Struthio camelus: one gene and its partner. The protein of the gene in region 2 purifies or fractionates together with the protein of the main gene of each other region. This does not show direct contact. Links are inferred from orthologs where the notes say so. Each region holds a gene or a part of one and is shown on either strand. Other genes may lie near its edges.

Region 1 (7,283 bases), on a different chromosome or scaffold from region 2:
AAGTGAAAATCCTCTGACGCGTTAGCTTGCTATCACAGGATGATTGCCTGCTTTCAGCACTAGCGATCACAGGTTAAGGCTCCGAAGGAAAGCCTGGCATGCCTGCATGCCCCATCCTTTGCCATGGGTGAAGCAATCGACTGACCAAAATCCTGAAGCAGGAATTGCAGATTAACAATTTTACTCAGCAGTGTTGTCAACGCCTTACGCAGAAGACTTGGGGAACGGCTTAGCCCTGGCTTTTCAACGCTTGCACAGTTGGGGGCATACTACTAACGCAATCAAAGCTCAGTTAAACTCTGCGTTGCCTTAAATATTATGGACAGCTTCACGTTTCCTTAGCAGGAGGCCTGTTTCACCCGTCGGTGAAGCAGGAGCAGCTCTCGGCCCGAGGCAGCCACCTGCACGGCCTGCATCCTCTGCCCTCGCAGCGCCGGCAGCAGCAGGCTGCAGCTGTAGGGGCCTGCATGAAGCAATCCTGGCCCGGGTACCATCTGCTACTGCTGCTTAATGGGCCATCATCCAGTCACGAAGCCGCTGGTGCTCCGCTCTGCGGGGGGACCGCGGCAGTAGAGCAGAGGTGTACCAAGTCTCATAAATGCAGGCAACTCTATTAGGAGCGCCTGAGAAGCCACAGGAAAACAATAATAAAGTTTGCAAACACTCATCGCATAGAGTTAAAATCAACAAAGTACGCGAAGTCATTTAGGCTTTGTTCCCTACGTGCTTTTATGCTACTGCGCTGTAAGATGAGAACTACAGTTGCCAAACTGGAGAGCACGTACAAGCCCACTAGGGCTGTATGACTTTATGACAAATTCCACCTGTGTTCATTTGCCTTGCTTGGGGCTTTGCAAAAGATGGCAGCTTTTGTCTGATATTCTTCAGCTTACCTGAAAACGTGCTTAAAGCAACTCTATAGCCGCGTTTAAGAAACCTGTTGATGGGGTTTTTCTTGGCAACTTCTTTGGGAGAGATTCAGGATGAAATCAAATTATGTTTCACTGAGAGCCTCACCAAGACTTCAGGTGATCAGTGATCTTTGTATGAAATTTTACTCTAAGTCATGCAGCGAATTAAATACATTAATGACATAAAAATTATGAAAACGTAACTGTAAAAATCCATTTAGAGTGAGAGGCAGTATCTTTTACTGGGCAGAGTTGTACAGTTCTTCACCTCTCAAGATCTGGAAAATGGTCTAGAAAATCCATTTGATGAAAGAGACTGATTTTTTCCTACAAACTGTGTTTCACAGCTACGAAATCACTGCTATTAAAGTTAAACCTAAACGGGCAACACTTAAGCAAGTTCTGTTTTAACCAAAGCTAAACACCAGAGTCGCACGACAGGGTTACAAATTGCATTTGAGGTCCTCCTTTACAGGGGGATTTTGCCTACAAGCAGGACTTCCACTTTTGGGCAACAGACTATGTTGTGCATCGTACTAATACGTTTAACGTTTGACCGAAACGGGTCCTAACTTTCCTTCGTTGTCTGTTTGGCTTGGGTGGACTTCTCCTTTAAACAGTCAATGCTTCTTTTAAGCTCAGAGCCAATTTACACAGGGTGGCATTTGCATGTTCCACCTCTGAAGCAGACACGTGTTCGTCAGTGTTTGCCCTCTTTACCTCCTGCCAGAAAACAAGCCGTCTGTGTTTTAAATAAAGCCAATATTCATGTTAGTTCTTCAGCTTCTCTGAGATTAACTCATTAAGGAGGTCAATAGACCCTCTGTTCCTCAGCAGCAAGGGTGAGGTTTCCCGCTCTGAACGGGGGCTTTGTGCGCGCGCCACAAATAAACCGGCACTCTTCGGGGTTTAATACCCCGTTAAAAGCAAAAACTGGTAAAAACTGTCACAATAGGCAGGTCAGGAATAAAACTCTCATTAGGAGTTTGTTTCTGTCCCGCCACGTTTTGCAGCACAATCTTTCCAAGCAGCATCGCGAGCGGGGAACAAAGCGAAAGCAGAAATCCACGTCTCGGGGAGGGGGGGGTGGTCATTATTATCGTTTTGCTCCCTTTCGTGCCGATACAGATTATGTCCAGCAGGTGTTCTTCCTCCCAGAGCTCGATCTAGCCTGGGGGGAACTGAGTCCAACTGCCTGAACATTTCACCAGCGTCCAAACGGAGCGGCCCGTATCCCCAGCACCTTGCAAGCAAACTCTAGGCTACGTCTTACAGCCTGAAGAAAAACATCATACATACAGCACACTTTCTGCCATAACACTGGACGTTTCCTTTTCCTCTTACTTTTGGGACCCATAAGAAACACGGTTTGCGCTTACAGTCTCTCCAAAGGGCTCCGGTTGCAAGGGGAGGCACGAGGGGTAGCAGCGACCGCAAGCCTCCGCGCCCTGGACAGTACCTATCCAATCGCAAAAAAACTCCTGCAGCCCCATTGGTCCTCAAGCTCAGCACTGCACTTCGATATCCAATGGCAAAATCATGCCGGTGACAGTGCTAATCCGGCGGCGGCCCCTCCGGGGTGACTTACCGAAGAGGGAGAGGATGCCGCAGGCGGCCCAGACGGAGAGGGACATGCCCACGCTGCCCGTGTTCTGCAGGATCCCCTTGGGCGAGATGAAGATGCCGGCGCCGATGATCGTGCCGATGATGATGGATATCCCCCTCAAAAGCGTCACCTTCTGCTTCAGCACCACTTTCTCCTCCTGGGCCGGCTGCTCGCTGTCCAGGGAGGGCAGCCTGCCGTTGGGTTGCCCCCGCCAGTAGTTTCCATTAGAGGCTGCAGTCACAGCAGCTTTCCTGAACATGCTACAGTGCCCCCAGCACAGCCAAGGCAAGCGCAGGCAAAAAGTTTGTAGCACAAACTCAGGGTCGTTGTTAGGGTGGTGTTTTTTTTTTTTTTCCCCTCCCTTCCTCCGTGTGAAACGAACCACTTGGTGCCTGCCTCCTGTAGCTGCCCCTGCACCCAGGTAGGAGGCTCCCGGTGCCTGCGGTCGGGGGAGCCCTGCTCAGCAACACCTGCGCTTGCACGCTGCTGGCTGGTCCTGCCCTATCGTTGGAAACCAGCTCGGCTTCCGCGTGGACTTGTATTTAAGCTCTTGTCATACCAAGTTACTCCAGCTGAATGATGATGCAAATTCTCCAGGTTTGCATCAGCCATTTGAGAAACCTCTGGCATTACTCAGCATTTCTCTCTCTCTCTCTTTTTTTTTTCCCCCTGAAACGGTAGGGGCATGTTGCACAACCGACCTGCGCGTGGTGGGCAGGACAAAGCGCTCGCAAGGAAACGGAGCCAGCTGAGCTGCGCGCACCGCCGGCGACACCCGGAGACACGCTCCCAAATTTTTAAAGCAACTCGCAGGCAGAAACAAAAGCCTGCCTAAACACAAGGCTGGTCCGAGCGCAAGGGGAAAAGAAATCAAACAGGCTACGTCAGCTCTGGGTCTTTTCCAGCTTCTTCCGCCAAAAGCTCCTCTTAGTGAAATTAAAGTTTGCGGGGGTCTAACTTTTTGTTCTGTTGCAATCGATTAGCTTACCTCAAGTCTACGTTACTCACCTGGAAAGGCGCACGAGGACTGTAAGTATCTACAGGCGGAGCCCACGTAAACCCTCGTTACCCCGCGTTGCCTAGCAACACGCCCGAATCGGGCTAATGAAAAATCTCGGTTATTTCCATAGTACAGCAATTTTCATACGTGCAGTGTTTCTGGGATGTTTGTAAGCCGCCCGGCAGCGACGCTTCCCCTTAAGAAACCCTGTTAACGTTTACAGCAATACCTTTTTTACGATGTGACAGGACGAGGGCAACGCAACAGAGCACAGGATCTGCAGGCACTCAGAAACCAGTGATTTTCGAGTTATCCTAGAGCTTCTCTGACTGGATAAACGGGTAATCAGATGCATAAATACTTTTCTCTCGCTACCCAACAATTCAAACGCAAGCAGGAGAAATTAAACTGTTTAAAAAAAACACTCTCATAAAACAGAACAAAAATCAATAGCCTCCAAGCACTTGTAGCCTAGTCAAGGGACAGCCTGCGCAGTATATGCCAAAGGGGAAAAATCCTTCGTAGCATAACTACTGCAGCTGCTCAAGGCTTCAGATTAGATCAGTGCAAAGAGAAATGATTGCTGCAGTTACTGCTCTTACAGTTACCGCTTAATTAGGACCCAGGATTACAACAAGAAAAAAAGAGAGAGAGATAGCAGTTTGACATTTTGTCATTTGAAAAGGGAGCACTGAGCTCAGAGCACAACAGTGCCTTCAGATTTGTTTGAGAAACAGGAGATAACTGGAGCATCAACACGCTGCATCTGTGAAACCTCAGTGTTTTTAAAGCCTCCTGTAATAATTTACTCGGGGATAGGACAGAGCATTAGAAAGCTTACATGGTTTAAATGTACACAGGCACAAAGTGATTTTAGCTTTTGAGTACATGCTGCTTCTGCTTGCCTGTTTTCTGAACACATCCTATTTCTTCCTCCTCCATCTGCTCACGTGCTCAGCAGCTGATCCTGCACATCTCCACCTAGCTTCTCCTCCTGGTCCTCAGGGCACCTGGTGCCAGACCCATCAGAGAAGCCCAGACCGGCTGCAGCCAGGACTGCCTCTTCTCACCCAACGGCCCAAACCAAGCCAATTTTCATGGTGCCAGATAAATCCCAAGCCATGAGTAGGTGGTGTGCTATGCAGAATTGTTTTCCCTTGATGTACACTTGATAGGCTGTCCCCTTAGAAGGTTATAAATGCCTGAGCTAAATAACTAGATCAAATCAAACCAGGAAAAAGCATTAACCACAGAACTGGGCTTGCCTGATGACCTTTATTTTAATTTTCAAAGGCTGCTTACTGAAGAAGCACATGACATCTTAAAACATCTAATAATTTAAGTTAATCATTCTTGACTAATGCTTATCCTTTATTTAAATGGGACGGCAGTTCCAAGATCAAATCAGAAGTTCAATAAGCTTCCAGACGATCCCGAGACGGCTCCCAGCAATCCAGGCGTCCACACCAGCTATTAAGTAAAATCACTGGATGCGGTAACGGCTTTCAAATTCTGTTTGACCACTAGCCAGAAGCACGTAAAAATGCTCTGAACCCACGTTTGCCCATCGGACACAGCTATTAACACTCTCCCGTGTGGGGAAAAGGGTGCTGGCTTCCTCTGTGGGGCAGGGATATCACACATGCAAAGTTTAAGGCTATGTGAACTTCTCACTGAATTTTCTAAAGTGCAAATTAGGCTGGATGCAACAAACTCTTTTTTTTCTAAATACTGGCAGCTTCCTAGGGATCACGCTGTTTTGCAGCTTTCCCGGTGGCAACTGTTGCATAGACCTCTTTCTCACTGCTGACTGCTAAAAATGAATAAAGGTTTAAAAAAGAAGTGGGGGGAGGGGGAAGCACTTTTTGTCCTCTGAGTTCAAACCTATCAGCACCATCCCTTTGCAGGGAATATTCATCTGGTTTTAGGTGACTCCTTGTTGCTTTCTGGAAATTTCATGAGAATTATCTGCCACTGGAGCCCTATCCCAAGGAGGGCACAAAGCCAAAGAGGCCCATTGCTGCGTGCTGCCCCACATTATCCAATACCCTCCCAAAATCTGATCGAATTATTTGTAGTCCCTGATACTCTTCCCACCAGCTACTTTCATCCGAATTATTCAGCACAGAGCAAGGGGCCGTAGCATCGCGACGCAAACACACGCCGCGTTCAGTGTGCTTTCACAGAGGGCTCTTCTGAAAGCGCAGGGCTTGACCTGCCCAAACCTCAAAACAGTCGCGTTCTTCCACAAAAATCTGCCATGGAAGCAAAAGATACATGGCATAAATTACTGCAGACTGATAAATACATTTGAAGCAACGACGGATTCTTTCCTAAATAGGATGCTCTGAAAATAAAATTTCAGCCTCTAACGGCAACCGGCACTGTGCACAGCCTTTTAACGTTTCTCTCTGTTTTTTCCCCATTTCATAGATGTGTTCTCCTAAACAAACGCTTTAAAGCATGACCTAGATCATCGCTGTGCAACGGTCTCCTTTTGAACCTTCCCACCAGCGCTGAACTGTCCATCCGTTGCCTGTTTCAAAGAGAACTGCTAACCGAGAGCGGGCGCCAGCCTTCCTGCGCCTCCAGTCTGCAAAGAGCTGCAGTAAAACATCGCTCCGCTGCGCTGCTCTCCGGCTTTGCCAAGCACAGCTGCCTGCGCCGCTTGCCCCCTTCGTGGGGTATATCATGCTCTGACCTTTCTGCCGCCTGCGTTACCCTGTGCCTGCGAATAAAACGCTCAAGCACCGTGGGCAATAAAGTTACAGCAGCCTTACAGAGGCTGCAAATACCTAGTGCAGAGACGCTTCAGTTTTCCGCAGTCGTACAGCCGCTAACACACACTTTGACACTGTTATACTGCTCGTTTTGAAGAAGGAAGAATCCTGATATTTACCCCGGGGAAAACCTTTACGGGAATGTTGCAGCACCCACACAGCCAAGTAAAGGACCTAAAATTCAAGCCTGGACTTGAGTTTCTCAAGCCCACAAAAGCTGCTTAATTTCTAGGTGTAGCAAGCATACCTTGACAACCCTTCCAGGCATCTGTATATCAGCTTATTGCATCAAGTAAATCAAAAGAGTCACAAGTCAAGCCTGCAGGCCACCCACTGCCACAGTGGCTGGAGACACCCGACTTAAAAAAGGGAAGTATACCAAGACCAAAGAGGTGAGGAAAGCCCCAGACTCTTGTGTGGGTGGCATGGCATGAAAAGTTTCCTAAACTGAGTTGAGTCTTCTCGGTATAATTCTGAGCTGCGTGTGAGCCCAGAAAACCAGCCCTGTAGGAAGATGGTACTGCGGCTTCAAATGTCAGAGGAGGGCAAAACACCCTCCTTTAGGGGAGAGAAAAGGGGGGAGTGGGAAGGTGTCAGTGGGAATTAAGTTGGAATAGTATCATCATGAAGTACGTGAAGGTCTCACAGTAGATAAGACCCTTTTTGTGTCTTTTAATGAAAACCTGAAAATGTGAGAAAACTAAAACAAGTTGTTGTTCTCTCTACTACAAGTCAATGTTTTAGTTAAAAATTGAATTATTGACAATGTTGGGGTTTTTGTTTCTTTTTTACATTCTAGTCAGAGCTTAACAAATTACTCACTTAAGCATTTTACATTCCATTTTGTGCGCGATACCAAGAAGTTATTTAGAAGAAAAACAAAAATATGAGAAGGAATAAGAGACATTTCCAATTCAGAGGCTTTAGAATTAAAACAAAACCCTGTAAGAAATCCAAAAGCAATTCAAATATTATTTCATGTATTT
Region 2 (7,540 bases):
GCCGGCGCGGCGGCGGCCGAGGCGCATTTGTTTGCCCCTCCTTTCCCCTCAGCTACGAAGTGCAGCTGGAGAGCAGAGTGCGGCGGAAAGGGCTGGGCAAGTTCCTCCTGCAGATCCTGCAGCTCGTGGCCAACAGGTGAGGGCGGCGGCGGCGGCGGCGGGCCGGGCGCGGGGCTGCGCGCGAGCTCAGCGCCGCTTGCTCTCCTCCTCCCAGCACGCAGATGAAGAAAGTCATGCTCACGGTATTTAAACACAATCACGGCGCCTACCAGTTCTTCAGGGAAGCGTTACAGTAAGCGCCTTCTCCAAACTCTCCTCCTTTTCCCTTTGTGTGTGTGTTGGTTCCCCCCCCCCTCCCCGTTCCTGCCTCTCTTTGCCCCCGGGACGGGAGGGAGGGCGCTCTCCGCTTCGCCGCCCCGCGGCGGGGCTGGCGCTCGCCCGCGTAACCCGCCGTCCGCCCGACTGTCTTGCAGCGCGCTGGCGACGTGGTGCGAGAGGGGGCCGGTGTAGACTTAGGATGGCGGGGAGATTTGGGTGGAGCGGTGCCAACGGCGCCGGCCGGCGGCTCGACGGCGGCCTGCAGAGGTGGGTGCGCGAGTCCCCGCGGCGCCGGCCGGCTCCGCGCCCGCCGCCGCCGCCCCCCGGGGCTGACGCCGCCGCCGCCGCCCCCCTGCCCGCAGGTTCGACGTGGACGACTCGTCGCCCAGCGTCTCGGGCTGCTGCGGCGACGACTGCTCCTACGAGATCCTCAGCCGGCGCACCAAGTTCGGCGAGGGCCAGCAGGCGCACGCCGGCGGCCACTGCGGCGGCTGCTGCCACTGAGCGCCGCCCTTCCTCCCCTCTCCTCCTCCTCCGCCGCGCCGCGGGGGCAGCTCCCGGGGAGGAAGCGGCCTCCGGCGCCTCCTCTGGGTGTTGGTTTTACTTTTTTATTTTTTATTTTGGGGTTTTTCCCCCCGTTTTTTCTCTGCCACCTCGCTGGAGTCGAAGGGATCCCACGTCCCCCCCCCCGGCCCTTTCCCCTCGGTTTTGTTTGTACGTTGCCAATAAAAACACTTTGTCAAGGCCTCGCGCTGGTGGCGCCCGCTCGGGGGGGGGGGGGGCAGGACGCCTGGGCCCCCTCCTCGCTCCCCCGAGGGGCTCCTGTGGGGTGCGAGGACTACGTTTCCCAGCAGGCCCTGCAGCTTTTGCCCCCCCCATGAAAGAGAGCTCCCAGCGTGCCCTGGGGTGGCCCCACAGTGTGTCCCAGCATGCTTTGCTTCCCCCCCCCCCCCAGCAAGGGGGAGCAGGGAGCGCTACAGGCGTGTGCTGGGACACGGGACCCGCCAGTGCAGGCGTGTGCTGGGACACGGGACCCGCCAGTGCAGGCGTGTGCTGGGACACGGGACCTGCCAGTGCAGGCGTGTGCTGGGACACGGGACCCGCCAGTGCAGGCGTGTGCGTGCAGCAGGGCCCCCCAGTGCAGGCGTGTGCTGGGACACGGGACCTGCCAGTGCAGGCGTGTGCTGGGACACGGGACCCGCCAGTGCAGGCGTGTGCGTGCAGCAGGGCCCCCCAGTGCAGGCGTGTGCTGGGACACGGGACCCGCCAGTGCAGGCGTGTGCGTGCAGCAGGGCCCGCCAGTGCAGGCGTGTGCTGGGACACAGGACCCGCCAGTGCAGGCGTGTGCGTGCAGCAGGGCCCACCAGTGCAGGCGTGTGCTGGGACACGGGACCTGCCAGTGCAGGCGTGTGCTGGGACACGGGACCCGCCAGTGCAGGCGTGTGCGTGCAGCAGGGCCCCCCAGTGCAGGTGTGTGCTGGGACACGGGACCCGCCAGTGCAGGCGTGTGCTGGGACACGGGACCCGCCAGTGCAGGTGTGTGCGTGCAGCAGGGCCCCCCAGTGCAGGCGTGTGCTGGGACACGGGACCTGCCAGTGCAGGCGTGTGCTGGGACACGGGACCCGCCAGTGCAGGCGTGTGCTGGGACACGGGACCCGCCAGTGCAGGCGTGTGCTGGGACACGGGACCCGCCAGCTCCAGGCAGGACCCACGAGCACACGGCTGGACACGGCACCCCCGGCGTGCGCGCAGGACCCACAGACACAGGCGGACACAGCTGGGTGCGGGGGACACGTGAGCAAGCTGCACGCGCAGCCACAGGCCGTGACCGGGAGACGCGGCGGGGCACGCGTGGGACACACAAACGCGGGCACGTGCCCAGCCGGACACGGGGAGGGCGCGCGAGCGCAGAGCCGCGCCACCGGGCAGGCGAGGCGTGGGGGGCGGAGGTGCGCCCGCAGCCGGGCACGGGGAGAGCGCGCGAGCGGGGCGAGGCAGCCGCACGGACGTGGGACGGGCACGCGGCGGGGGCCTGGCGGCGCGGGGGGGGGGGGGACACGCAACAACCCGCCGTGGCCACACGGAGGGCACGGGTGGGGCCGGGGTGCGCACGCCTGCACACGTATGACCGGGGTGGGGGGGGCAGGAGGGGGCGGGGCCGAGTCGAGGTGGGCGGGGCCGAGCGCGGAGGGGGCGGGGCTGAGCCAGAGGTGCCCAGAGGTGGGCGGGGCCGAGCCGAGGTGCGCAGAGGTGGGCGGGGCCGAGCGCGGAGGGGGCGGGGCTGAGCCAGAGGTGCCCAGAGGTGGGCGGGGCCGAGCGCGGAGGGGGCGGGGCCGAACCAGGGGTGCGCAGAGGTGGGCGGGGCCGAGCCGAGGTGCGCAGAGGTGGGCGGGGCCGAGCGCGGAGGGGGCGGGGCCGCGGCAAGGCGGGGGCGGGCGCGCGAGGGGGCGGGCCCTCGCCGCCCGGCCCCGCCCCTCCTTCCCTCCGCCCCCTCCCCGCCGCCGGCGGAAGTGACGCGCCAGCCGCCGCCACTTCCGCCCTGGCCGCCGCCATGCCGCTCGCCGCCCGCCTGGCCCGCGCTCTGCTGCGCCCCGCGGCCCGGCCCGGCCCGGCCCGGCGCGGCCTCGTCTCGGGGCCGCCGCAGCAGCCGCTGGGGCCCGCGGTGAGCAGCGGAGCGGGGAGGGGGGGGAGCCGGGGCCGGGGGGCGGCGGGGGCGGCGGGTGACCTTGGCGGCGGCGGCGGCGCTGACGGGGCTCTGCCCGCAGGAGACCGTCGTGGGCTTCGCCGCCATGTTCCTGAGCTGCCTGGGCCCGGCCGCCTGGGTGCTGGCGCACCTCGAGGACTACAAGAAGCGGGAGTGACCCCCCCTTCCCCCCCCCGCTCCGCCGCGACCCCCCCGCCGCTGCCGAGACCCTCTGCCGGCGCCGCACCGGCACCGAGGCCCCGGGACCAGCGCGACTCTGGAGCGGGGCTGCCGCGGGGGCACCGGCACCGCTGGGACCCCCGGACCCCCGTCAGCGCCTCTAGGACCCCCCCGGGGCCACCGAGACCCCTGTCAGCACCTCTAGGACACCACCGGGACCCCCATCAGCGCCTCTGGGACCCCCTGGACCACTGGGACCCCCATCAGCACCTCTGGGACCCCTCCCAGACCCCTGTCAGCACATCTAGGACACCACCGGGACCCCCATCAGCGCCTCTGGGACCCCCCGGACCACTGGGACCCCTGTCAGCGCTTCTGGGACCCCTCCCAGACCCCTGTCAGCACCTCTAGGACACCACCGGGACCCCCGTCAGCGCCTCTGTGACCCCCTGGGACCACTGGGACCCCCGTCAGCACCTCTGGGACCCCCCCGGACCACTGGGACCCCCGTCAGCGCCTCTAGGAACCACCGGGAACCTCATCAGCACCCAGGACCCTGTACCAGCTCTGCTGGGAACCCCACTAGACCCCTGTCAGCACCCAGGACCCCACACCGGGACCATCGGGACGCTGCTGGGACTGCTGGGACCCCCATCAGCACCCAGGACCCTGTACTGGGACCACTGGGACCCCCCCCCAAGACCACCAGAGCCCTCATCAGCACCCAGGACCCCACACTGGGATCACTGGGACCCCCCCCCTGGGACCACCAGGACCCCTGTCAGCACCCAGGACCCTGCACTGGGACTGCTGGGACCCCCCCGGGACCACCAGAGCCCCCATCAGCACCCACAGCCCTGCACTGGGACCACTGGGGTGCCGGCTCCCCCTCCCCTAATAAAGGCTGCTTGATGCTCTGTCTGTCTCTGCCTGTCTCTGCCCGGACACCGGGGTCCCTGGGGGTGATGTCACCTGGCCTCACTTTGAGGTCATTGGGTGACATCACAGCTCTGGAAAAGGGGGGGGGGGAAAGGGAGGTGCTTGGTTACCATGGTGAAGCTCAGCCCTTCTGGGGGGTGGTTGCTAGGGGATGAGGGTTGGTGCTAGGAGCAGTAGCTAGTGATGGGGGCTGTTGCTAGGGGTGGTTGCTAGGGGCTGTTGCCCACAGGGGTCGGGATGGAGAGCGGTTGCTAGGGAGTTCCAGGGGAGGGTGGTTGCCGGGGCGGTTGCTAAGGACCGGAGCCAGTTGCCAGGGGGCGGGGCGGTTGCCAGGGGCGGGGCCCGTTGCTAGGGGCGGGCCCGGCGGCCGGGCCCGGCGCGGGCGGCCGGAGGCGGTTGCTAAGGCGGGCCCGGTCGCCAGGGGCGGTTGCTAGGGGCCGGGAGCGCTTCCGGCGGGGCGGGCGGTGACCCGGAAGTGCTGCGGGGTGCGGGGCTGCAGCAGCAAGATGGCGGCGGAGGCGCCTCAGCAGAAGCCGGAGCCGCTGGGGGGGGACGCGGACGGTAACGGCGCCGCCGGGGAGGGCCGGGGGGGCCCGGCGGGACCCCGCGGCCGGTCCCCCCCCAGCGGGAGCCCCATCGCGCCCCGGTGACCCGCGGCCCCCCCGGCAGGGCCCCCCTCGGGGCCCCGTTACCCCCCGGGGACCCCCATCATGGCCCCCCCAATGCCCCAAACGAGGATCCCCGTAGCGGGGCGCAGCCCCCCCGTGGCCCCCCCATGGGAACCCCCCTCAATGGGGCCCCGGTACCCCCGTCCCCCCCCGGGCTCCCCCAATACCCCCACGGGGGCCCCGATGCCTCCCGTGGCCCCCCCAGCCCCCCAATGGGGCCCGGAGCCCCCTGGGGTCCTCAATACCCCCGATGGGGCCAGGACCCCCCTTATGAGGCCCTGGTGCCCCACGGACCCCCCCGCTGCCCCCCAATGGCGGCTCCGATACCCCCTGTGACCCCCCCCAACCGCCCTCGGGGTCCGGATCCTCCCCCCGGGGCCCCCAAAGCCCAACGGGGGCCCTGATACCCCACGGTGCCCCCCCAACCCCCCCTCGGGGACCTCGTTAATGGGGGCCCCGCTGCCCCCCTCCATCCACGGGGGTATTTGGGGGGGTGCAGGACCCCCCAAAAATGGGGCTGGGCCTGAGGGGGGGGGAAAACTCCTTGGTCCCTTTCGGGGGGGGGGGGGGGCAGCTCTGACCACCCCCCCCCCCGCAGGAGTGAACTGCCTGGCCTACGACGAAGCCATCATGGCGCAGCAGGACCGGATCCAGCAGGAGGTGAGGGCGGGGGGGCCCCAAATCCTCCCCCCGGGGGTCCCCCCAAACCGCTGCGCCCCCCTCCCGCCCCCGCCAAGCCGGGGGGAACCCCCCTCCCCCCCTCCCGCCGCCTTTACCGCGGGCTCCTCTGCGGTGGGGCGGCCGCGGACTACAGCTCCCAGCGTGCCCCGCGGCGGGGCAGGGCGGGGAGGCGGGGGTGGCGCCGCGGGGCACGCTGGGAGCTGTAGTCCGCCGCGGGGCCGCATCCTGACCCGCGGCGCCGGCGCAGATCGCGGTGCAGAACCCGCTGGTGTCGGAGCGCCTGGACCTGGCCGTGCTGTACAAGGAGTACGCCGAGGACGACCACGTCTACCAGGAGAAGATCAAGGTACTGGCGCGGCGCTGGGAGCCCCGTCGCGGCACCAGTGTGGCACTGGGAGCCCCCCTTGTGGCACTGAGAGCTTTCTCAGGGCACCAGTATGGTGCTGGGAGCCCCCGTTGTGGCACTGGGAGCCCCTTCAGGGCACCAGTGTGGCACTGGGAGCCCCCGTTGTGGCACTGGGAGCCCCATCACGGCACCAGTGTGGCACTGGGAGCCCCCGGTGTGGCACTGGGAGCCCCGTCACGGCACCAGTGTGGCACTGGGAGCCCCATTATGGCACTGAGAGCTTTGTCAGGGCACCAGTATGGTGCTGGGAGTCCCGGTTGTGGCGCTGGGAGCCCCGTCACGGCACCAGTGTGGCACTGGGAGCCCCCATTGTGGCACTGGGAGCCCTGTCAGGGCACCAGTGTGGCACTGGGAGCCCCATTATGGCACTGAGAGCTTTGTCAGGGCACCAGTATGGTGCTGGGAGCCCCCGGTGTGGCTCTGGGAGCCCCGTCGCGGCACCAGTGTGGCACTGGGAGCCCCCCTTGTGGCACTGGGAGCCCCGTCAGGGCACCAGTGTGGCGCTGGGAGCCCCGTCATGGCACCAGTGTGGCACTGGGAGACCCCGTTGTGGCACTGGGAGCCCCATCACGGCACCGGTGTGGCACTGGGAGCCCCCGGTGTGGCGCTGGGAGCCCCCGCGCGGCGCCGTGCCGCATCCCTGCGCTTCGCAGGGCGCCCCGCGTCGCCCGGGTGCGGCGGGCCGGCGTCACCGTGTCCCCGCGTCCCCAGGACCTGCTGCAGAAGTACTCGTACATCCGCAAGACGCGGCCCGACGGGAACTGCTTCTACCGGGCCTTCGGCTTCGCCCACCTCGAGGCCCTGCTGGAGGACAGCCAGGAGCTGCAGCGGTGCGCCCGGACGCCGGGGCCCCCCGGCTCCGGGGGGGGTCACCAGTACACTGGGGTCCCATGGGGGGGGGGATTGGGAGCCCCTGGACGCCTGGGTCCCCTGGGTGGGGGGCAGAGGGGTGGGGGGACCCGGCTGAGGGCCCAGGTGTCCGGGCTCCAGGTGAGGGCACCGAGGGGCTGGGCGGGAGCCTCGTTAGCGGAGCGGCTGCTAACGAGCCCCTCGTCACCCTGAGACGGGGCCCAGCTGGGCCCGGACGCCTGGGTGCGCTGGGAGGGAGGGGACGGGCTGCAGGGAGGGGGGAGATGGCCCCCCCCGGACGCCTGGGCCCCCCCCCCGGACGCCTGGGCCCCCCGGCCGTGGCGGCAGCCCCTCTCTCGGGCAGGTTCAAGGAGATCTCGGCCCGCAGCAAGGACGACCTGGTGGCGCAGGGCTTCACCGAGTTCACGATCGAGGACTTCCACAACACGGTGCGACACGGGGGGACACGGGGGGACACGGGGGGATGTGGGGACACGGCGAGGCTGAGGCTGCAGCTGAGACCGGGGCCGCTCGTGACACGAATGCGTGTGTGTGTGTGTGCGCCCCCCCGGGGACGTGCGTGGAGCGTCCCCACGTGATGCGCGTCCCCGCGTGACCCGCGTGGCGTGTCTGCGTGCCCGCGTGGCGCGTCACCCGCGTCACCCGCGCCCCCACGCGACGTCTCACTCGCGTCCTGGCGCGATGCTGGCGGCGTGTCCCTGTGCCCCGTGCGAGGCGTGTGCCCGTGACCCCGTGGTGCCCCGTGCAGCGTGTGCGTCTGTGCCCCGCGGTGCCTGGCATGACACACGCGCCCGG

Evidence for each region.
Region 1: the proteins of OTUB1 (region 2) and SLC7A11 purify together in Homo sapiens (affinity purification with western blotting; 5 studies listed by BioGRID, with this or other methods). This does not show direct contact. The link is inferred for Struthio camelus from reciprocal best matches to the Homo sapiens genes OTUB1 and SLC7A11.

The regions. Positions count from the first base shown.
Region 1 is NC_090945.1:32,140,481-32,147,763, forward strand, and holds the start of SLC7A11 (cystine/glutamate transporter), read right to left. Parts: upstream 3,094-7,283; 5' UTR 2,777-3,093; coding exon 2,500-2,776; intron 2,344-2,499; exon of another isoform or gene 2,269-2,343; coding exon of another isoform or gene 2,211-2,268; intron 1-2,210. UniProt on the Homo sapiens protein: Heterodimer with SLC3A2, that functions as an antiporter by mediating the exchange of extracellular anionic L-cystine and intracellular L-glutamate across the cellular plasma membrane.
Region 2 is NC_090976.1:1,104,845-1,112,384, reverse strand, and holds the start of OTUB1 (ubiquitin thioesterase OTUB1), read left to right. Parts: upstream 1-4,487; 5' UTR 4,488-4,626; coding exon 4,627-4,681; intron 4,682-5,386; coding exon 5,387-5,448; intron 5,449-5,716; coding exon 5,717-5,815; intron 5,816-6,586; coding exon 6,587-6,705; intron 6,706-7,088; coding exon 7,089-7,173; intron 7,174-7,540. Other genes in the region: NAA40 (N-alpha-acetyltransferase 40), read left to right, coding at 53-136, 215-292, 681-822. UniProt on the Homo sapiens protein: Hydrolase that can specifically remove 'Lys-48'-linked conjugated ubiquitin from proteins and plays an important regulatory role at the level of protein turnover by preventing degradation.